Oreochromis niloticus: one gene and its partners. Each later gene encodes a partner of the first gene's protein in a complex. Links are inferred from orthologs where the notes say so. Each region holds a gene or a part of one and is shown on either strand. Other genes may lie near its edges.

What was found.
Region 2: the proteins of arrb1 (region 1) and ap2b1 are in contact, whole or in part, in a crystal structure (PDB 2IV8), measured with the Homo sapiens proteins. The link is inferred for Oreochromis niloticus from reciprocal best matches to the Homo sapiens genes ARRB1 and AP2B1. Residues at the interface, in NP_004032.2 of Homo sapiens: Asp384, Asp385, Val387, Phe388, Glu389, Phe391, Ala392, Arg393, Arg395, Leu396; in NP_001273.1 of Homo sapiens: Arg834, Gln835, Phe837, Leu838, Trp841, Lys842, Asn846, Glu849, Ile876, Ala877, Arg879, Val881, Glu882, Gln884, Tyr888, Glu902, Arg904.
Region 3: the proteins of arrb1 (region 1) and grm3 are in contact, whole or in part, in a cryo-EM structure (PDB 9II2), measured with the Homo sapiens proteins. The link is inferred for Oreochromis niloticus from reciprocal best matches to the Homo sapiens genes ARRB1 and GRM3. Residues at the interface, in NP_004032.2 of Homo sapiens: Gly5, Thr6, Arg7, Val8, Phe9, Lys10, Lys11, Ala12, Ser13, Pro14, Tyr21, Arg25, Arg65, Glu66, Asp67, Leu71, Gly72, Leu73, Thr74, Phe75, Arg76, Lys77, Arg103, Leu104, Lys107, Pro133, Arg236, Phe244, Asn245, Thr246; in NP_000831.2 of Homo sapiens: Pro605, Lys608, Ala609, Ile669, Phe670, Asp671, Gly672, Val673, Lys674, Asn675, Ala677, Gln678, Arg679, Lys681, Phe682, Ser684, Cys761, Pro762, Glu763, Phe765, Val834, Val835, Thr836, His837, Gln855, Ser856, Ser857, Ala858, Ser859, Thr860.

Annotation. Positions count from the first base shown.
Region 1 is NC_031979.2:38,769,079-38,777,063, reverse strand, and holds the start of arrb1 (beta-arrestin-1), read right to left. Parts: upstream 3,075-7,985; 5' UTR 2,815-3,074; coding exon 2,756-2,814; intron 1-2,755. UniProt on the Homo sapiens protein: Functions in regulating agonist-mediated G-protein coupled receptor (GPCR) signaling by mediating both receptor desensitization and resensitization processes.
Region 2 is NC_031975.2:24,344,311-24,351,954, reverse strand, and holds the start of ap2b1 (AP-2 complex subunit beta), read right to left. Parts: upstream 3,029-7,644; 5' UTR 2,874-3,028; intron 653-2,873; 5' UTR 635-652; coding exon 598-634; intron 481-597; coding exon 375-480; intron 1-374. Other genes in the region: tectonic-like complex member MKS1, read right to left, coding at 4,628-4,731, 5,072-5,169. UniProt on the Homo sapiens protein: Component of the adaptor protein complex 2 (AP-2). Adaptor protein complexes function in protein transport via transport vesicles in different membrane traffic pathways.
Region 3 is NC_031972.2:54,846,809-54,854,757, reverse strand, and holds the start of grm3 (metabotropic glutamate receptor 3), read left to right. Parts: upstream 1-4,921; 5' UTR 4,922-5,080; intron 5,081-5,417; exon of another isoform or gene 5,418-5,611; intron 5,612-7,398; 5' UTR 7,399-7,489; intron 7,490-7,949. UniProt on the Homo sapiens protein: G-protein coupled receptor for glutamate. Ligand binding causes a conformation change that triggers signaling via guanine nucleotide-binding proteins (G proteins) and modulates the activity of down-stream effectors.

The DNA of each region.
Region 1 (7,985 bases):
CAGAGGGTGTGCCGTCAGCAGCTTCCTCTCTGCATCTCTGTCTAATGCTGCCCGACAGCATGACCCCCCTCTCCTCCCCCCACGTTAATGTTGTCATAAATTAGCTGCTGTGGCTCCATTAGCTTTCAGCTTCCTCCTGAGTGGCTCTTCATCAATCAGCAGCATCGGGACGCCGTTTTTAGCCGGAAACCGGAGGGACTCCTGGGAGCTGCCCACTGCACGATCACCTGCTCACCACACTCTCTGCAATTAGGCCAATTAAACTTTAACACGGAGCAGCTCTGCCATCTGAAATCACAAATCAGGCTGAGCGGCTGGAGGTAAAACACCGGCTCCGTGACGGCGACAGCAGAGACGTTTATCAACCTAGGTTGCTTAAACTTGATCTCTTCTTGATTTTTAATCACAGCTGAGCGAACGTGTCGGCTTCAGACGGCCGCAGGGACAAAACACGACATCCTCACAAGCCGCTGTGCTAAACACTGGACATATAAATGCTGGTGTTTGTGTGAAATGAGAGAAAAGATGCTGAAAGCTTCGGTAACAGGAAGTGAGCGTCTGAGAGAGTGTAAACACGATTAAAGATTCATTGAAAGAGAGCAGAGCTGAATCTTCAGAGCCGAGGATGCGGTTAGAGCTTCATCGCACAGACGTGAATCAGTGCAGGGTTACAGCACGAGAGGGGCTCACATTTCATCTGAACACGAGTAACGACTTTATCACATCAAAGACGCCAAGACAGCTCAGAGACAACCGAGAAGTCAGAGCAAATATTATTACATTTTTCCTCTTTTCGCTCTCAGGGTCCAAAGCTGCTGCCACACAGTGAAGCACCTGGACAGGTACATCTGTTTAGAACCACCACTGAACCGAACAACAAGCTGAAATCAAAGACGTCACGTGTGGCAAAACACCTGATGTGGGTTCTGACGTCTTCCTGCTCTTTCCTGTTTTCACGCCACTGCTCAGGTTCACCCAAAGTGACGCCAGTCCCTCTGAGGCTCGTTCACACCTGAATAAACACACTTCCTGTGTAAGAGAGTGATGTGCGTGACTGCACACCCCAAACGCTCTGATGCATCATCATTGCTCCTTGTTGTTGGTTTTATTGTTGTTATCACTCAAACTGATGTTTGTTTTTAATCAATAATCCTGAATATTGATGAATATTGACGCGTACAGAGACATTTCTGTCACAATAAAAAACATGGATCCTTCAATGCAACCGTCTGTTGGAAGAACTTTCACAGATTCATTTGCTATTTTTCTGTATCAGGAATAAGTTTGGTACCTTTGAGATTTTCTCACACTTCTTGGTTCGCTCGAGGTTTGTGCAGGTGAAGCAGCAGCGCCGCTGATCGATCGGCCGCTCTGACACAGGGGGAACGCTAACTGCCCGATCGATGCCTGATTGTTGTGTCAGCTCTGCAGCAGCAGACGGCCGATGATTGAAGACTCCCTCGATACCCAAACTGCAGCAAAGACTCAAACCGGCATTTCTCGCCTCCTCAGATGTACGACCGCCGGGTTTCTCTAACTGGAGTGTGACCACCGAGCTGCACCTTCGTTCTGGCCCTCGACCGGCTCAGGATTAAAGTCGGACCTGGTTCTGCTGGGCTCAGGAACATGAATGAAAACCACCAGCATGAACACGTGAAGATCAGCCTCGGCCACGCACAGGAACAAGATCCAGAAAGTCCGTCGCCTCCTCTGAGCCTGAGCCGGTTTCAGATTATATCCGGAGATCACAGATGTCTCTGGGCTGCAGAGGGGAGGGACGTCCCGCGTTTATCAGTGCTTACCTCATGGCACCGGAAACACGGGAATCCAACAGAAACATCTGGCAGCCATTACAAACATCTGGAGCTTCAAACAGTTGTGAGCACAGTGTGAAAATTTAACCCACTGTGGGGAAATAAAGAGACATTTTCAGTGTCCTGACTCACACACCTGAACGATTGTGGAAATCAGTCACCGAAGACGTTTCACCAAGAACCGAAGAGGAACCAGCAGTGCGGTAACATTTTAAAGCTGCTTTGGTCTCATTTAGTCAAAATCAACCCAGACCATCTGGAGCTTTCCCACAGACACCACGGAGGAGCAGCGTTTACACGAGCAGCCAGTTCAAACAGAAACCCTTTATTACATTTTCTATTAAACATGAAACTCTGTGAAAAGCAGGCTGGAACCTGCAGCTCTCAGAGTCCCGTTACTTTCTCAGGTGATTTATTGTTTGTTCCATGTGTTAAAAACTGGGAAAAGCTCCTGGAGGCTCCGTGAATCAGCTGACTCCTCAGGTCCTCCTGCCAACTTTAGCTTTGACTTTAAAATCCCCGTAATTACTTTTAGGGCCTGGCATAGCCTGACTGCAGCATTAATCAATGAGCTGCTGATCACACTTACTGCTGACAGCTTTATTGCTACAGCACCTTCTAACATTGAGCGAAATCTAAATGCTTTATATAAAACTAAATGAGCAGATATAAAATAAAGACGATGCTGAAATCCAGCCCGTTGTTTGTTTTTTAAAGCCGGTCCTCACTGCAGTTAAAGTACTAATACCACGAAAATACACCAACCAAAAGTAAAAGAGGAAATATCCGGTAAGAGTCAAGCTGAAGGAACGCAGTGGTCACTCAAACAACCACAGGATGCAGAAGAGCATCTCTGAGGCCACAGCAGCAGCAGCAGAAGACCACACCGCTGCTGCTCAGCTCAGCACAGGAAACTCAGGCTAACGTTCACACAGACTCACAAAGCTGGACCACAGAAGGTGGAAAAACACGTCCTGGTCTGATGAGCGTCGATTTGCATCTGCGTTCAGCTGCTGCAGGTGTGACCGTCTCAGCGCTCAGATCTCCTCACACAGGCTTCCTGAACGATCCGTTCGATGCACTCAGAGCAGGGACGGGAGATTCTCATCACGGATGCAGACGGAAAATCTGCAGCAGCTGTGTGCTGATGTCACATTGATGTCATAATCATGTGGACCAAAATCCCCGAACAGAACGTGTCAGAGCAGGTACAGCAGAGCTCTGCGTGGAACAGCACCTTTTCATTTCCTCCCTCCTGATGTGTACAGCGGTCGTATGTGAATATTAAACGAGTCACAAACAAACCTGAGAGCGTGACGTGGCTCAGTCCTGTCCACTTATGCTCCACACAAACACTCAAACAGATTCTGGGACTGACGCTGCTTCCTGTGAAAAACTCCTCAGAGAGTCTCCAGAGCTGCTCTGTATGTCTGACTGATCAGCAGAGCTCGTTAATATTCTCCCGACGCGACTCATTCAGATCATTGAGCCCGAAAACACAGAAACCCACTCAGACACAAGACGACGGCAACCGCAGCGCAGAAACGCTCCGCCGCCACATTCACCATCAGAATGAACACGGCAACACGTTTCTGCACGTCTCCTTTATTAGAGCTTCGTTTTACTGCGAGTCACAAACTGAGAGAAAAGGACGTGTGTGTGTGTGTGTGTGTGTGCGTGTGCGCGCCTGTGTCAGATGACCAACAGTCAGAGAGGCAGAGGCTGAGCGTCCATCAGCAGCCGCTGTGTCGCTACGTCCTCCGTACTCAGAAAGGACTTCATGTCACAGGACGGTGACCCTTTAACGTCTCAGCCAATCCGGGCTCTGATGGCGGGTGCAGAAGTCTAAGCAGATCTTTAAGGTGGTTTAGAGGAGGACTGCTCTGAAGTGCAGGCAGATATACGCAAGCAGCTGTTTGAAGAAGACACCTGATCTCAGCCCAGACTCTCTCAGACAAATATTAAGAGATATATGCAAAAAACCACGCAGCTATGTTATACCAGCAACTGACTAAAGATGTGCAGGAACCAAAGCCGCTCCTCATCAATAAGCCAAAAAGTCCCTGTTGCATCTGAGCGTGCTCAGTTTGGCCTGAAATACAGTACAGTGCAAAGGTTTTAGGCAGGTGTGAAAAAATGCTGTAAACAAAGAATGGTTTCAGAAATATAAATGATTGTTTATTGGCCCCAGATGTATTCTGCCTTTGGGGTCAACGACCCCAAACACAAAGCCAAAGTCATTAAGAACTATCTTCAGCATGAAGAAGAACAACAAGTACTGGAAGTGATGGTACGGCTCCCACAGAGCCCTGATCTCAACATCATGGAGTGTGTCTGGGATTACAAGAAGAGACAGAAGGATGTGAGGAAGCTGACATCCACAGAAGATCTTTGCTTAGTTCTCTGAGACGTTTGGAACAACCTACCAGCCGAGTTCCTTCAAAAACTGTGTGCAAGTGGACCTAGAAGAAGGCAAAGGGTGCTCACACCAAATACTGATTTCTCTTTTGTTTATTCACTGCATTTTGTTGATGGATGAGAATAAATGATAAATGAAAACTTTTATTTTGTTTACAGCATTTTTCTTCACCTCCCTAAAACCTTTGCACAGTGCTGTAGATTAAAGAGGTGGTGCTGCCAGTGCATCATGGCAGCTCTGTCACTGAGGACACACCTGCAGGGTGAGTAGCACTGATGAGTTACAGGATGCACACTGTCCACATCCATGAAAAAAGACAAATAAGACACATAAGACGAAAGAGTGCTGCCGTCTCAGACCAGCTAAAGAAATGTGTCATCACGTCACAAGACCCTAACAGTTCCAAAAACACCCCAAAGCTAAGCTTAGCCAGCAAGTCCACAAGGAGACCCGAGGCAATCATGCGGCGCTTACACAGCTGATGGATAAAAGACCAGGACTCCATCCCTGTGGGACGCTGGCATCGATCATGAAGGGGGCAAAAAGTACCAGAACCAACATCAGAACCTGAATGATGATGTCATACCCCACCAGCTGTAAGATGAGCTAAAGAACCTCATCCAGGACTCCCGACCTCCACCCTCGGTCTGAGGAGAAACCTGCTGTTGGTACTTGCCTGGTTTCAACAGCATCACGGTAGCTAACAGGCTCAGGTGTATTACAGTACTACTCACCTGGTTTGAAGTTCTGAAGACATTCTGGCTATGAGCTAATATTTTAGAGTGGATAGGGTAACGGGTTGTTTTCAGTCTGTTATGAAAGCCTGTGTGAAAGCTTCACTGTGGTTATGTCACACCGTGATCGTGACATGCAGCAGTGATAAACCTGCACGCCACTTTCAGGTGCGTCTGCTCGTCATCGCCATTAAATGATTAACGTTTTCATCACACGCGGTTATATTTCATCCTGATGGGTTTTATAGCCAGCACTCAACTTTAACTGGACAGCTTTGCTGCGAGGAATGTGGCACGCGTGCAGGGTATTTTCCCGGCGCTGTGCTTGTGTATATGTGTTTAATTCACCTGCCAGTAGGGGGCAGAATGAGGAGTCTGTGCTACATTAGCACCAGTTTTGCAGAAGCAGTGTGGAGCAGTGGGGGAAATCACTGCACCTGCAGCGTGCTCGGTTCGTCTATTTCATCTGGTGAAGTGTTTCTGCGACACTGCTGAGGTCTGCGGGGTGGAGCGCACTCAGCTGGAAGATTTCTTCCTGCTGCTCACATAAAGCAGGAAACGGAGGCTTTGGGCCGACTTTCTGCTGCTGTCTATGCTACGAGGGTCGCCGCAGCTTTAACCTCAGACTGTGAGCAGCTTGGAAGCAGCTGAAGCTTCCTTTATTACCTCCTTTAGTAAAGGATGCATCAGAGTTTCCTTTATGAAAGGAAAGGAGATGATGGCATCCCACAATTCACAGCAACGACCCATCAGACCTTAAAGGAAAACAAACAGGCCATCATGTGACTTACTGCTGAGTTTTCCACCCGATGACGGCCATCTTTGAGCGACCACAGGTGAGCTCTCATCGTGTTACTGTGTGCACACCGTCTGTACACAGCAACCAATGAGAGCACAGCAGGTATCTGAGAGGAGCTTTTTGTAGTCCATCCGCAGGACTTTGTAGTTTCACCGCAGCAGAGCCTGCAAGCCACAGCTGATTCTCAGAGTGCCGCAGTCCTCCTCTTCAAGTCCTCGTAAACAGTCCTTCACATCTTTACTTCCCTTCCACTGAGGTCAAGGAAATGTGATTAGAGAAGATGCAGGAGGTCATTTTTTCACTATTTAACCACAAATCAAGACTCATCTGCTTTCTGCAACAAGAACTGAAGCCGCTGAACGTTTGCACTGGTCTGTGGAAACTCAGGGAGGTTCAGTTGGTTCCTGCAAGCGTGAAGCACCATGCTTCACATTTAAATTCAGTCCAAATGGGTACAGGAGCCAGTCTGTGCACCACGGTGGATTTTAAACACAGCCCCATTTTCAGGCGCACAGACTAACAAAGTTTCCAACTTTTATGATATTTTCATTGGGTGAAAGTGTTTTGCAGTCAACAGCAGGACACTGCCACATGCCACACTTCCTCATTCAGCTGCTTGCTGTTTGTGGGTCTCTGCCTTCAGCTTTAGTATTTAAGAGCAAACAAGTTCAACACTTAACCTGCTTAAATTCTCGTGGAATAACGAGGGAACAGGCCTCGCTTGCTGATCAAAGTGCTCCTTCATCAACCGTCCAAGTACGTTTGGAGAACTGTGTATAAACCCTACACAGGAACAAAATAAGAAACACGTGTGTCCTGAGTGCAACACTAAAGCCTCTGACCGGTCCTCACCGTGTACCGCCACGAGGAGCCTTCACACACGTCACTGTCTGCATTGGTGCTCGTACTTGTGAAACAGCCTCAGGGCATCAAGGGTGGTGATTTGGGAAAGCCAAGTATCCCAGAATGCATTTCACACAAAACAGCAAGCAGCAGTGGCAACAGCAGCAAAGCTGGAACCTGGAGTAAACTTTCAGAATGCTACTGTTGTTGTGCCACAAAAGTCAGTTTTAAGATATTTTGGGGGAGAATTTAGTTGTTTAGGCTTCATATGTGTGGGACTCATCACAGGTTTGAGTCGACTGATCAAAATATTACCAAACTGAAAACTCCAGGGATGTTTTTTCACCCTTTTCTTGGACGTCTCTGCGTCTCTGGGTCTGACGCACATATTGCTGCATCTCGACCTGATCGCACACCTGAAGAATGTCCTGACATATTTTAAGCCGCACACTTTGTCATTGTTTGTCTCTTGTAAGCGTTGGAGAGACGATGACTCAGTAGTCATTCCTGTTATAGTTCTCTGAAGTGCGTCACCAGGGGCGTACGCATAGTTGGTCTCTGCAGATTGGTCAGGCAGGCGTGAAGACATCCACACCAATCATCAGCTCACCATCTCATGAAGAAATTTACATCACTAGCAGATTCGCAGACACGGAAAATGTCTTGACAAGCACACATCCACATGGTGGTCCTTCCATGAAGCTACACCATTAGTATGCATGAGCTGCCTCGTTGGGGACGACTTCCCCGTGTTATGGTGTCATTGGTGGGACCCAGTCTCATTGCCCCATCTAGGAAAGGGGCTCGTCAGTGAGAGCCTAGTTTTTGAGCCTTTACCCTCGTATGAGTCCTCCATCGCCACAGGCTTTCAGCACACTGGTGGAGGATTATGGATCGGAACACCAGCTGGTCAAATTGTCTCTAGTCTCCAAAATATTTAATTTGGTCAAAGTCCCAGCAAAGTCCTGACACTGAGGAACCCTGAGTTCTCAGTCTGATACTGGGAATGCAAATGTGTGATTCTTCATCGATAAGCATCATCTGTGGGACAAATAAGCTGATGTTTTGATCCAGCTTCCTGTTAGTAGGCTCTTTCATGCTTCGCCTAACCTGAGATTGTGAAGTTCCTCTGGTGGATGTAACAAGGAGTCAAAGAGCAAGTCAGCTGACACCGACTATAATGGACTGACAAAGCTCTGGATTTTAAACCCAAACCTGCGGTTCCTCTGACGTCCAGCAGAGGCAGCAGTGAGTCCACCTCACAGACGTTACAGCGAAGAGAACCTGTTTCCAGCCTGATACACAAACTGTTCGGTCTCTGTGGATCATTTCTGCTTCATAACACTTGTACGTTCCGGGAGTCTTTTAATAACGCA
Region 2 (7,644 bases), on another chromosome or scaffold:
GATACGTACTGTGCTTCAACATAATATTACCGTATTGTGTGTGTATAACCTCTTTTTAAGTTTTGTGGATATTATACATGGTTATGCTGAGGATATGTCGGCCAATTTCTACTGGAAATGGCTTTTGGTTAAACTGTCCGCAAGGAATTTGCAGTGTTACATTTTTATGTAACTTTAATGCACATAAAAAACAGCTGCTTGTTTAAGTGAAAATACATTGATGGGTTTCTTTTTGCACTAATAAAGTTGTGGAGTTGTAAAGTATTTTGTCTAGTGTCAATTATATCGTCAGTTATATCGTTATCGCAAATTTTCAAATGTATATCGTGATAAATATTTTTGGTCATATCGCCCTGCTCTATTTTGTAGTATACCTGACATCTTTGCCAACAGTCATGGCAGCAATGACCTTCTTCACTGCCTCTTTCCTCTTCTCCTTCTTCTCATTGTTCAGCTCTGCCTTCAGTTCAAAGATCTCCCCTGAAAGATGAATCAGATGAAGAGTTGAAAGCAGTGCTGTTTATATATACACTGCCATAAATTTCCAATCTCTAACATGCCCACATGAACAAAAAACAATTTCTCTTCCATACTCACCTTTTTTGTTTGTTGTGAAATATTTCGAGTCCGTCATGACTGTTGTCCTTTAGTTCTGTAAAAAATAAATAGATAAATACATTTAAAAAATATTACATAATCATTCAGTGAGGCTTTAATATACAATAACAGTCTGTAGTACCTCTTCTTCCCTGATCTGCCATATGACTAAGTGATGTGGTGACAAGCCACAAAGTAGTTCAATGAGATTCAGTCATCAGGTTTGCCTCCAACATAGTACACTGTAACAGTCAGTAATAAATCTAAAAATTTTACAGGTTTCTTCTATGACAGACCAACCTGATGTGTTTAGTTTCTAAATGAATGTATGAATAACTGCTTTACAAATACACAAGGTTACACTACAAGTATGGAGAACACCCCTTTCAATAAATAACTGAGCAAAATCCATACAGCAGTAAAGTGGCTTCATGACACTGGTTTGCATGGTGATGTGGAAATGAAAGCCTAAGAGCCCCAAGCAAAATGCCAAATATTAGCTGGAGTGGTGTTAAACACAACCAGTGGACTACAGAGCACTGTAATCTTATAGTCTGGATTCATTAATTAGGCTTTATTTTCAGGCATTGTAATGGAGGATCCTGGGTTTGGCAGAGGTTAGGAGAACCATTTATGTCTGAATTATACACTCCCTACTGTTTTACAGAGTATATGAAGTTCTAGTAAACTCTGAAATAGGCAACTTAATTTTATCATAATGCACCACACTAGGGAAGCACCAAATGCAATTTTATTATGTTTAATTTGTTTTTGTTATTATTCATTCCCCTTTCTTCTTCTTTCAGATGATTCCTTTAGGGGTCACCACAAAGGATCATCTGCCATCCCATCCCTAGCATCCTCCTCTGTCACACCAGCCCTCCTTCGCTAAATGCATGGATTTTATTTTTTGTATTTTCTTTGCAGTCTTCCTCTTTTCCTCCTGTCTGGTAGTTCCATATTCAACATTCTTTGTCTGGTATATCCACTATCCCTCCTCTGCACATGTCCAAACCACCTAAGCCTTGCCTCTGTAACCTTGTCTCCAAACTACTCAACCTGTGCTGTCCCTCTGTACTTATTTCTAAACCTGACCAGTGTGGTCCGAGCATATTGTGCTGTGACAGCTCCAGCTTGGCCTTCCATCTTTTTGTCAGTTCCACTAGAGCATATCTCTGCCTCTCCAGGCTCTCTTTCACCTACTCCCTTGCTTCAAGCTCAACTGCAATTTGAAATATAGTCAAGCAAAATGCCTTCTGGAGAAAGGTTTTATGGTCAGATGAGACAAAGATTGAGCTATTTGACCACAGTGACAAGAGATATGTTTGGAGGAATAATGGTACGCCTTTCAAATCTAAGAACAGAGTGCCAGCTGTCAAGCACGGTGGCGGTAGATATATTTACCAATTCTGACGAGAAGAGCGGTCAAATGATCAGCAAGAATTATGGCTGAAGCTTGTTGATCGCTACCAAAAGCATCTGGGGAAGATGCAACTTACTAAGGGACACTTAACCAAATATTAATGGGGGTTTATGTATATATTTGAATCTGTGTGGATGAGAGAAAATCCAACATAATTTCAAATTTTTGCAGTTATTAATGATGTAAGCTCTGCAATCATGCAAACCTGGAAAAGAATTCAAAGTTCAGAGCAATCATTAAAAGCACAAACATATGATATCGATGTCCATAATGACTGTATGTAAACCTGTGACCACACATTTGTGTATCTGTACAGCCCTAGCTAAAACATGCTATTACATTGAAGAAAACGTACTTAGGGTTACATGTTAAAGAATTAAACCTTTACTTTAGCCGGCATTAGCCATTTTCTTCATCTGTATGGTGAAGAAGAACCTACTCTAATCTAACTGTGACATTAACTGCTCTGTGTTTCTGGGTGTGACGACGTTTGACCTCTCAACAAACATCAGGTTAGCTTTAATTAACCGGGAGGCACAGCACTTCCACTTAGCTAGCGTTAGCTAGATGCTAAATACATCCGCTCCCTACTGCGATACCACAAATATTAACAACAAACTCCAAACACAGACAACTTCTAACATCAACCTGGGTTTACAGTCCGATATGACAAGATTGCGTTATGTTAAATCTGGAGTCAAAATAGAAACGTGAGCAGCGGCCCAGTTTCCAGGAGCTGCCTTTACGGTAGCTAAACGATGAGCAGCCCTGCAAAAATACAGTCGATACAAAATCACAACACAATGACAGCAAGGTTAAAAGAAGGTCCTGTACTGTATAATATCGCCCATACCTTGCTGAGTATACGTGAGAAGAGAAAAATATTCCACTGGGTGTCAGACGCAGGCTGCTCCTTCGTCTGTTTGGAGGAAGATGGAGAACCAGGATAACGATGGTGCATTCACACTCATCGGAAACTGGACAACTTCCCTTCTGAGGTAAAGAATACCAGGATGCGTTGTTGCAGCGAACACATTTCGTTGATTTTATAACGGCTGTTAGTAGATGTTTGTATAGTTAAGATCTGCGAATATAAATGATGTATTATATAAAATGTATATGCAGATCCAGGAAACCACAACCGGCAATGACATCACACGGTTTCGAGGTCATGTGGACAAATCGGTCTGCAGGGTTTATATTTTCTTTGTAATTGGATTCACAAGCAAATATAAATCAGTGCAAACTTTTGTATTTAAAGGGGAAAATTACATTACATAATAAATGACTCCATATGACGCCACGGTTTCCTATTATCATGAATGCAACACTGGAGGGAATTCTTGGTAGGGACCTCGCCGTGTCCTCACAGCCAGGAAAAGAATTCCATAATATCAGCGTTTCACCTTCACTGTACAGTCCTGCCTTTTTCAAAGCAGTTTCAAGTCAGGGGCTGCAAAGTACTCCCCTGGGTCTGAACGCAGCCCAAGAGTTGGAAAAAGGAAGGATACTCATGTTGATGTGAAATATGTTCAGTGCCTCAGGCATGAAGGAACATGTTGAATCAGACGGGTACATTTTTGTTATGTTCAAGTCCTTGAAACATGGAATTCTTGCAAAACACAGACTCTGTTAGGTACCATGTATCCGATGGTCCAACAAATCAGACGCGGTGTATATGATCCCTTCGATAGCTCAGTTGGTAGAGCGGAGGACAGAAATTCTTGGGTCACTGGTTCAATTCTGGCTCCAAAACGATTTTACAATTCAACTATCTCAAGCACATGTGTCGAACTCCAGACTTGGAGGGCCGCTATCCTATTGAATGTAAGTCATCTATTAAGATGCTGAACTGCACTAAGCAAAACCTGTGCTTCAGTGGAAAGGACCAAAGTGATTCATAGAGCATGGAAACTTTGTAACCCCCCCCCCCCAGCATTTTTAGCCCTCAAACTACAGAAGAAAACCCACACAAAAACAATATTTTCTCAATCTGAAAAGACAAGCGCCCCCCCAAAAAAAGATTTAAAAAAATACTTTTACATACAATCTAGACTGTGTGAACAGCTTTAAACTACTGTATGAATGCCCCTAAATATCATATACCAAATATAAAATATAGTGCATGAAGAAAAAAGATTTAGATTTTTTTAAGTATTTAAAGATAATTGTAATAGTTGATATAAAATGTTTATATTACAACAAATATGACAACTACATTGATATTTGAAGTAACCAATAGAAAATATAAAACCAAACTTTCAAAACATTACTTTATATTCACAAGGTTTTAAAAGCCTCAGTTAACGCCAACAATCGGACCGTTTATTGAAATCAAATATAAACCGTGACTATAAAAAAAAATGCATTGCCAGGTACAACCATACATAGCAGGTATAATGGCTCTGCTATCTATTAATTACCAGCTTCACTCATATTGTAACTTCATTAGTACACCATCCACTATGTTAGCCATAAATACAACAATTAAAACATTGAGACATGATTTTCCTCTTTGTGAGAAAAATTCACTTATATCACAGCCAGTGATAATCTATAATCTAAACTTCAAAAAAAACAGTAACAGCCTCACTCCATTTTTCAGACTTAAGCAGAGGATTCGATTTGTAGCTGGGATGCGCTGCTGATCAGGTCTTGTGGAAGACTTTTTCGGGCTTCTTGCATCTTTTTCCTGGCCCTCTGAAAGGCCTCTGCAAAAGGAAGAAAGTACCAGTCGAATACTACACACATACAGAGAAGGCTTACATAGCAATTTATAACAAATACACACAGAAATAACAAAGGAAAAAAAAGGTTAACTGTTTTCTTGATTTTACATATTACTGGTATGAAATAATACGCTAATGTTAGTCCACATTTTTTAGCTCAGAAAACAAACCAAGCTATAACCAATCGATCCATATCTCACATATGTCAGACTGAAGTGCTGAAAGAAACTTGTATCTCAGTGAGTCGATTTCCCACAGGGTTTAGCTTTCAAACTTATCCATAGCCTAAGCTCAGTGGGTCCTGAAAATCCAGACTTCTTACCCAGGATGGTGCAAACAGCTCCTTGCTGACTAAATCCTCCCAGCTGGTCAAAAACTCTCTGCCTCCTCTTCTTCAGCATGGCAGTATCAACAAAGGCCCTGCACATGAAATTAAAACATTTCCTGTTATCACTGATTATCATCTGAATGCAAACAAACCGAGGTTTGGGGCGATCGTGGCTCAAGAGTTGGGAGTTCGCCTTGTAATCGGAAGGTTACCGGTTCGAGCCCCGGCTCGGACAGTCTCGGTCGTTGTGTCCTTGGGCAAGACACTTCACCCATTGCCTACTGGTGGTGGTCAGAGGGCCTGGTGGCGCCAGTGTCCGGCAGCCTCGCCTCTGTCAGTGCGCCCCAGGGTGGCTGTGGCTACAACGTAGCTTGCCATCACCAGTGTGTGAATGTGTGTGTGAATGGGTGGATGACTGGATATGTAAAGCGCTTTGGGGTCCTTAGGGACTAGAAAAGCGCTGTATAAATACAGGCCATTTACCATTATATTATATTATATTTGCAACACCTGCATTAACATAGAAATAAAATTACAGTGTATTGTGGGACTGTGAAATAGGAGACAGTTGTGAAGTTGTAGATTTGCTGCTGTGTTGAAACAAATAAAGTCTAGCCACCAAAGAAATGTGATTAATCTATAACAATGCAGATAATGTAGAGCTTACCAACCATACAGGGAGTGCAGAATTATTAGGCAAGTTGTATTTTTGAGGAATAATTTTATTATTGAACAACAACCATGTTCTCAATGAACCCAAAAAACTCATTAATATCAAAGCTGAATGTTTTTGGAAGTAGTTTTTAGTTTGTTGTTAGTTTTAGCTATTTTAGGGGGATATCTGTGTGTGCAGGTGACTATTACTGTGCAGAATTATTAGGCAACTTAACAAAAAACAAATATATACCCATTTCAATTATTTATTTTTACCAGTGAAACCAATATAACATCTCCACATTCACAAATATACATTTCTGACATTCAAAAACAAAACAAAAACAAATCAGCGACCAATATAGCCACCTTTCTTTGCAAGGACACTCAAAAGCCTGCCATCCATGGATTCTGTCAGTGTTTTGATCTGTTCACCATCAACATTGCGTGCAGCAGCAACCACAGCCTCCCAGACACTGTTCAGAGAGGTGTACTGTTTTCCCTCCTTGTAAATCTCACATTTGATGATGGACCACAGGTTCTCAATGGGGTTCAGATCAGGTGAACAAGGAGGCCATGTCATTAGTTTTTCTTCTTTTATACCCTTTCTTGCCAGCCACGCTGTGGAGTACTTGGACGCGTGTGATGGAGCATTGTCCTGCATGAAAATCATGTTTTTCTTGAAGGATGCAGACTTCTTCCTGTACCACTGCTTGAAGAAGGTGTCTTCCAGAAACTGGCAGTAGGACTGGGAGTTGAGCCTGACTCCATCCTCAACCCGAAAAGGCCCCACAAGCTCATCTTTGATGATACCAGCCCAAACCAGTACTCCACCTCCACCTTGCTGGCGTCTGAGTCGGACTGGAGCTCTCTGCCCTTTACCAATCCAGCCACGGGCCCATCCATCTGGCCCATCAAGACTCACTCTCATTTCATCAGTCCATAAAACCTTAGAAAAATCAGTCTTGAGATATTTCTTGGCCCAGTCTTGACGTTTCAGCTTGTGTGTCTTGTTCAGTGGTGGTCGTCTTTCAGCCTTTCTTACCTTGGCCATGTCTCTGAGTATTGCACACCTTGTGCTTTTGGGCACTCCAGTGATGTTGCAGCTCTGAAATATGGCCAAACTGGTGGCAAGTGGCATCTTGGCAGCTGCACGCTTGACTTTTCTCAGTTCATGGGCAGTTATTTTGCGCCTTGGTTTTTCCACACGCTTCTTGCGACCCTGTTGACTATTTTGAATGAAACGCTTGATTGTTCGATGATCACGCTTCAGAAGCTTTGCAATTTTAAGACTGCTGCATCCCTCTGCAAGATATCTCACTATTTTGGACTTTTCTGAGCCTGTCAAGTCCTTCTTTTGACCCATTTTGCCAAAGGAAAGGAAGTTGCCTAATAATTATGCACACCTGATATAGGGTGTTGATGTCATTAGACCACACCCCTTCTCATTACAGAGATGCACATCACCTAATATGCTTAATTGGTAGTAGGCTTTCGAGCCTATACAGCTTGGAGTAAGACAACATGCATGAAGAGGATGATGTGGACAAAATACTCATTTGCCTAATAATTCTGCACTCCCTGTATAAGTACTATATATCTCTATTAAATGTTGGGTACAATACTTAAAAAGTTTATTACTTGTCATAAAAACAAGAAAACAAATATTTTAGAAATCTGTCAAACAGCTGTTTAAAACTAAAAATCAAATTCCTTTTTATTAGACTGGAATTCGTGTTTTCATTTCATTCATAATAATAATAATAATAATAATAATAACAACAATAATAGTGTGCTTTACTATTTTCAAAATATTATTTCGATTAAATAGCTCACATAAATTTTGGTGGTTAACCATTACAAAACATTAGAAAAGATTGTGGTAATTAACAATACTGTTCATTTAGGGCAGC
Region 3 (7,949 bases), on another chromosome or scaffold:
AAGCAGCAGGTATACCCCAGAGGTTGAGCCATGTCACACTGTTCTGCAATCTAAATATTTTGGTCAACACTAAGAGCTCATGACCAGAGGTGAGGTTTTTGACTTCCAGCTGAGCTCCCACTTCATCACAAGAGTCCTTTTGTTGCCTGGAGTGAACAATACACCCTGCTCCAGCAGGAAACCACTGCCTCAGACTTGGAGGTGCTAACTCTCATGAAACTCAACTTCAAACAGTCCCAAATGGGAAGTGAAGCCTGTGATCTAACAAAACTAAAAGAAGCATATCAACTGCAAAAAGCAGAGGCTGGACTGGACACACTTATCATCCCAACTTTGCCTTGAAATTCTGTTCATAAATCTATGCGTATATGAAATATGAATGAAAATAGGATCTCAACAAGGGGTCCTCATACTCCATTATAGTGTTGAACCCAGTGTACAATTACTTAGGGGACATGGCCATAAGCCAACTCAAATCCATAAAACCGTTTAGATTGGAAATGATTCATATTGCCCCTCCAAGTGACAGCCTCCTTTTCAGCACCCTGGAATAAAGTTTTTTGGGGGAGGCTGAACAGTACGATACTCTGTTAGTAAACCCTCAGTCCACTAACCGTTTCTACACAGATACCATCCCCAGCCTCCATGTGACACTGAAAAGGTGTGGCAGTATGTAGGGATGTAGTGATTCCAATCCCATTATCAATATCACTTATCAGTTCTCTTATCTATCCTCATTGGGTTCTCTTTGGTTCTGCTTTGAGAGTCACCACCATCGCTAAACAACATATCAAAGACATTACATTTGTGCAAATTAACTGCATGCTGTGTGGTCAATTGTTTGTGCACGTTGTGTGCACAAATATACTTTTCTTAAAAGTACTGCAGTATGTTACTCCCCTTAGAAAGAAATTTGTTACACTACTCTTCACAGTACTTCCACATGAAATGCTCATAGTTACCATTTCTCAATATAAACCTATTGGCTATAGTCCCACAGACCAACACAAATCCCTATCCTAATGAGGACACTCTTAGTATTTATGTATGAACACCAGAAACAGCAAGTATGGAAACCAACACAGAAACTTCAGAGCGATTCTACATTATAAACATGAACAGGTGGAAACAGAGGCTGCAACCTGACTGCTCATCACTGCTTTTGTTACCTGTTGAAGTTCAGGATCTGCCTGCAGGGCTGGGTTCTGCATTCATTCAGCTTCAACATCACTCTGGGTCCTTCGCTGGCTTAGCATTAGCATGCAATCTGTGCAAGTGCTTGCAATGAGCGAAAGTTGATAATGCAGTTGTTTCTGTCCTGGATACAGTTTCTACTTCACTATCACACTCTTGTCTTTTTGTGCAGTAAAAATAAAAAATAAAATCCACACTGTAGACTGCGCCACTAATTTCCTCCCCTGCACACAAACTGAAATCGGCTGATTGTAGCGCAAGTTCAGCTGATAAGTGGAAGTGATAGGCAAGCAGACTAAAAATTACAAGCGATTGAACTAACAAGAACCAGTTCTCTGGAAAAAAGCTAGTTCTTGGTTCCATCCCCAATTATATCGATCACCATGGATGCCAGGATGGGCTCTGGGGTAGCTTGAACTGTAAAGCTAACAACCAGCAAACAGGGGGACCTTGGTATTTTAATAGCATTAGAAAGCAATAAACCATAAAACACAATGAGAAAAACAGTGGGAAAAAGAAACACAGACTAGAATTCTTGTTTTTGCTCTTCACTCTTTTTTCTCTATTTGAAATTTACATATTTGCATAGCAGCAAATAATGTTTAGATGTAAAACTTGGCAGACTGAGGCTGTGCCAGGTGAGTCACTGTTCAGTGACAAAGTATTCAGTACAAAGTTTTTTTTGCGTTTATGTGTGTATGGAGGGGGGGTGACTGATGAGCAGACGAACATGAGACAGGTCAGTGCACGTCCTGTGAAGTGTTTTTGGCCCACAGTCTGTTGGCCATGCCTCTGTAACCAGGATAATTAGAGCCCAACCCCCTGTTAGGAGCCATAAACAGCCAAAAACAACATTAACCATTTGATACACAATCCCAAACTCACACATTATTATCTATTCATCTAAAACAAATTTAGGGCAAATTTGATATGCATCTTAATTTCCAAATATGAACATTGTTTTCGAATGCCAGCTACACACTGGCAGACTTGTGTGGAGTAGCGACTGTGACAGCATCTAGTCTGAACAGACCATTCCAGTGTTTTGAGCCTTAGCAAGAGAAGACAATGTTATCAAGGAAGTATTCAAACCAAACAAAAAAACCTGGGTTACAGGGTTTTGGTTGTTTTTTGTAATGCATGTTTACAAAAAATGTGAACTACAGTCATGTGTAAAAGAATGTCTACATTTTTAGGGTTTTATATATGAGAACTTAGCAGGTTCTAAAATTGCAACATCAGGTACAGACCACCTCAGATGAACAAAATCATGTAATTATTTATTAAAAAAATTTAAGCCAAAATGTGTAAGTGTGTAATGTGTGAAAAACTAAGTTGCATATCTATCTGGGAACTGTTATGAGGCAATCGCCAAAGAAATTGAACTCCATCATTCTACAGTAACAGAGATTATTTACTTTTTCTTATTATTATATTGTTCATTTATTATTATTCACAATAATCCATGTTTTTCAAGCAGAAAACATTTTAGACAGCTGCCAATCTTCCCGGGAGTGGACATCGCAGCATGTTAAATGATACAGTCAGTACTTGTACAGTTAGCCTTGTTTGAAGCCTCTTCTCTCTACAAAGAACATGGCAACATGCTTAAGTTTGCAGCAACACATCTGAATAAACAGACACACTTAACAACACTAACCATAAGACTCAATTTAAAAAATATACTTTTTTAATGTCAGACAGAAATTTCCCTAATAGCCTCGAGCTTTAAGTTTTTAGGAGTTCTTTTGTCCACTTGGCAACATCACAAGTGACCACACTGACCAAAGCAAATGTACGCTTGTGTTTATAACTAGCCCGGTTGTCTGACCAACACTGGGCACACTTCTAAGCACACTCGCTCCTCTGTGTGAAGCTCCATCCATCACGAGGCCAAGACAGGACAGAAGACCATGGGAAATGAAGCATGGTTAATTCTGTTAGCGCATGGACACAAACAATCTGTGGGGAATCAAAGAAGAAGGAAACATAATCCCAGCGGAACCATTTCCTGCTGCATGAGCTGGAGCAATTCACCATGATAAGGCAAAACGTTAAATTCCTCTACAAATACACATGACAGTATGAGGTAGTTTCATACAGTGACGTTCAGGATGTCCACATTTGCCATCTATCTCATTCATTTCTCTCTCTCTCTCTCTCTCTGTTGCTCTCTTCCTCTCTCGATTTCTTTCTTTCTTTCTTTTTTCTTTCTTTCTTTCTTTCTTTTTGACTCTGCTGTCTGTGGGGAAAGGCCTGCCACAAAGCTCTCAAGCTGAGTGACCCTTATGGGACAAAGCTGGCTTTCTAGGCTTTTTGCATATATGCATGCCATCCAGACAATGAGGCCTTTATTAGAGTAGCCAGCATCTCCGAGCTGGAACGGCAGGGATGAGGAATGGAAGTCCGAGAAAGCTGTGACTGACACTGGGCACAAGTGAGAGTGTGTGCATTTCCCACCTCTTTCCCATGCATGTGTGTTTCACAGAGGTGTGAAGTGGATGCTCTTACCCTTTCTTCTTCAGTTAACTAAGAAATCTTTTCTCATCCAAAGCTGAATCTCAGAGTTTTCTGATGCCAGGTAACATCATGCATTGCATGTATGGAAAAATGTCCAAGCTAGTTAGAAACTTCCCTGTCATAAATCTCCATATAAAACAGGCAAAACAACATGCTGTGGCCTTTAGCTGCAATCACAAACAGCTCTGAGCAAGCCCTCAGACAGGCTATCTCTATGCACTTGACTAACTTTACAATACAAAAATCAAGCCTTAGTCGAATGAGTGCCTGTGTTCGAGTGTGTGTGTGTGTGTGCATTGTACTACGTATTTCTGTGTGTATTGGTGTTGAGTAGAGAAAGAGGACGCTGTGTGACTCAATCATGCGTGAAGAGTATTTTCTGTTCAATAGGGGCTGCACACTTGCATACTTGCATTCTAATGACTCCATATGCATAATCGTACTAGTACAGATACTCAGATGCGTACGTGTGTACACATAAACACACACCTATACCGACGCACACACTACTGAATGCCACCTTCTGTTGTTCTCCTGATGGGAAATACACAGGTAAGAGAGACTGACACCTAACTTGTGAAAAATATCATGCATCCTGTTAGTGTGACGCATGATGTAAACTTCTAGTCACATCTCCAGGGTTGGATGCCCTTCTCTTCTAATATGCCTGAGCTATCTGAAGCATGGGCTGCATGTTTAGTGCTGTTCTTCATGCTGACAAAATTGACTGTAATAATGTGTTTTAAACATTAATAGAGTCTGCATAAAATTTAAAAAAGGGGTAAGGATTTTTATCTATACACCACTGCTTATGTGTTTTGAGCCGGGCTACAAGGACAGATGAATGCGAACAAATTCTGTGTCACTCTGCACCTTTACACACATAAAACATCTATTTTGGAGCAGCACACACACACACACACCTCTCTTCTCACTCTCTCACTCTCTGTCTTCACTCACTGAAGCTGGAGTTGTTGTTCTGAGTGGTAAACATGTGCTAAAGGGGGGGGTGAGTGGCTAAGTTTTCTTTTTATCCAATAAAAATGTCTCCTTGCCAGATCGATTGTTGTTGCTAGGAGACTGAAGCATCCTTTGGCAAGGGGCTTCAGCTCTGCTCGTCTGTTGTTTCACTCTCTCTCCCTCTCTCTCTCCCTCTCTCACTTACTCTCTCTTCTCTCGTGCACGCGCGCTCACGGGCACACACACACACACACACACACACACACAGCCACGGAGCTGGCGCGCAGAGCAGTGGCGCCCATCCTCTCTCTCAGTGCGACTCCTCCGAGGGATCAGGAGTAGACTAAGTCAAACTTCCAGCAGCTTGAGATTTGTGCGCAACCTTTCAAGGATCGAAGCCGTCAAGGTAGGTCAAATCTCACACATTCCTGACTGGTAGGCAGTGGTTGTCAGAGTGCAGTGAAAGAATTGACAGTCCGGGAGCGTTCAAGCGCGCGTCAGCCAATCCTACTGTAGGGAGCAATTTGCTTTGAACTTTGCGCAGGATTTAAAAAGCCAGTTGTACTGCATAAACGTGCTTGTTGTTTCCTTTCAGTCACGTTCAGTAATTGTGGGTTGTGTCAGCGGGGGAAAAATGGTTGCTAATCTCTGCAGCAGATGCACGATAAAGATACAGAAGGTGAAACAAAGACTATCTGCAGTTGCGTATTTCACTCCGCGCGGAGAAGTTATTTGGGTTCAGACAAACCGCACTGAGGCATGTCCCTCGGCTTTAGGCTTCCCAGGGAAGGATGGGCGGGTAGTCTTTGAAAAGAGGCATACAGGTGGATCCGATATCTGGATCTGGTTATTGTTTATCAGTGTTACTTTCCGTTTGCATCTAAGGATCCACTTCACACCTTGCGCTAGAGGAAAGGCAAGTGGACCTGCACTAAAGGTAGAACCAACAAAATGGGAATGTCCACATTAGTTGCTGTCTATGAGCTATACTGGCTTTAACTAGCAATCTTATATTTCTCACTAACAAGCAGAGGGGTAAAACAACTTAGTGGATAACTGGATAAACATATTGATTCATATAGCCAAACCCACATGTTATTACTGGCCATTTCTTTTTAATCTTCTGCACTCTACTAGAAAAACAACTGCAAATTACAGTTTTATAAACAGTGAAAAATCATGGCCCGTGTCCGAATTCATGTAGAGCAGGTGCGTTTTTATAAGCCCCAAGAGAGAGGTTGTAATTAGCTTTAATATATTAGGGGTCTATAATGTGCTGTCTTTTAAAAATAAACATAAAAACAAAAATACTGCATTTTAGGTGTGTGTATTTTTCGTGTTTAATTCTTACTGGTGTACCCATTCAGGTGCATTTTGGACACACTTCAGAAAAGATATCATTCCTGCCCCACACCACCCATGCTGAAGCATGCATCAATGTGTTGATTAGTCAGTGAAAGACTTTTGGTTACTCTTAATCAATTTTAACCAAAATTGTCATATTTTACTAAAATGATATGCAGCAGATAAGGATAAAATAATGTTTATGTTATAATGGAGTTACAGTATTGAAGTGGGAACTACTAGATGATATAGAATTTTACCAAACCATGATCAAATGTCTATTTGTGATAATCGTATACTGTGTTTTTTAACTGTATTAGAATTGCAATATCCAAATGATAAGGTTACTAAATAAAGAGCAATGAGAATTTTTAAATTAACTTTGTTGCTCAGTTAGATACGAGTGTATTTCCTCCACGTGAACATGTTATCATTGCTTGTGTAAAATGACAGCTACATGCTTTTTCAGAATAATATATATGAATATAAAATATTCATGTTTCTATGATTATGGATTTTTATGTATATTGTAAAAATGTAATATTTGATTAACTAGGCTGAGATGTCCTTATTGATATAAAGCAACATCTCTGAGTGTAAATTCTTTGTGAAACTTGTTGCATAACTAAGTTTAATTTCACAATTGTACAGAGAGTTCGCACATCAATAACTCTCTCAGCATGTGCGTGCGAGGATGACAACTATAGGTGGGGATGTAGTGACATGTTAAGACTTTAACTTATGTTTACATGCTTATGTGTAAATGTATTTATGTGCGTTCTTCTGTGTCAGGAGATGTTAATCTGTGGGTAAGGCAGCTGAAAATTTCTCCTGCTGAATGGATGTATTTTGTTATCAAATGTGCTTACAAGCTTCTGATTGTGATTTTGATTTGTTTGTATGTACTATATATGTAGAAATGGTCATGTATATTCCACACACTACACCTAACTGAACTGGATGTACTACAGAACCTCATCATTAGCTGCTGTAGAGCAGTGCACAGTGTGTGTATGTGCATGCTTGTGTTGTAACATAGATTCTGACTTTAGAAGAAATGCTGACCACTACATATTATGGGATGATGTTTTCTGTGATGCGATGACAAGTTGACTTTATTAGTTTATATATTTTTCTTATAAATCAGACGTATTAGCCAAAGTCCTTTTTCTATAGCCATAAATGAGAGATTATGATGAGAATTTATGTTGTAGTCAGTTCTTTGAGCTTTTATAGGACATTTAAAAAGTTTTATTATTCATGGGGCACAGTGGCAGTTAATAGCAGTTAAGTCCAAAAGCAACTTGTGTAGAAGAAATATAACAAAGTACCCATAGAAATTTTTAGAACGCCACCTATATCATGACCTCTTTTCTGCAGCTATAGCCATACGTGCTGTGAGGAGCTCTAACATCCTGAAATGCACCTGCTCAACAGCTTGACAGGATTGTGCGTGACAGCTGAGACGGAGGTGTGTTTAATCATAAGTTGGTGACTATATGTTACCAATGGCAGGATGTACATTAACTGCTGAGAAAAAAAGGAGAGAGGAAAAGGGGAATTTTGCTGCAAGAGTGTTTTTTAAGACATTATATATTTTTGTTATATTCAATTAAAAGTCACCCACTGCTAACAAGGAACAAACTTTTTTTTTTTTTTTACAGAAACCTCTAATAGGAGGTGATTTCAGGACATTTGAATTATTTTGGATGAAGTATTTGTATTTCATCTGACGAGAATATACTGGAACCATAACACAGGCATCAGGAAAGCTTGAATTTGGGATGTTGGTATTTTACTAAATCTTATCAAGGCATACAGTACATATTGAACAGAACATCTGTTAAGCGGTGGCTTTGGGACTGTGGGATTTTAGAAAGCAATATGGATATTCCATGTAGTGTTATTTATTTCTTTATTTATCTGTGTGA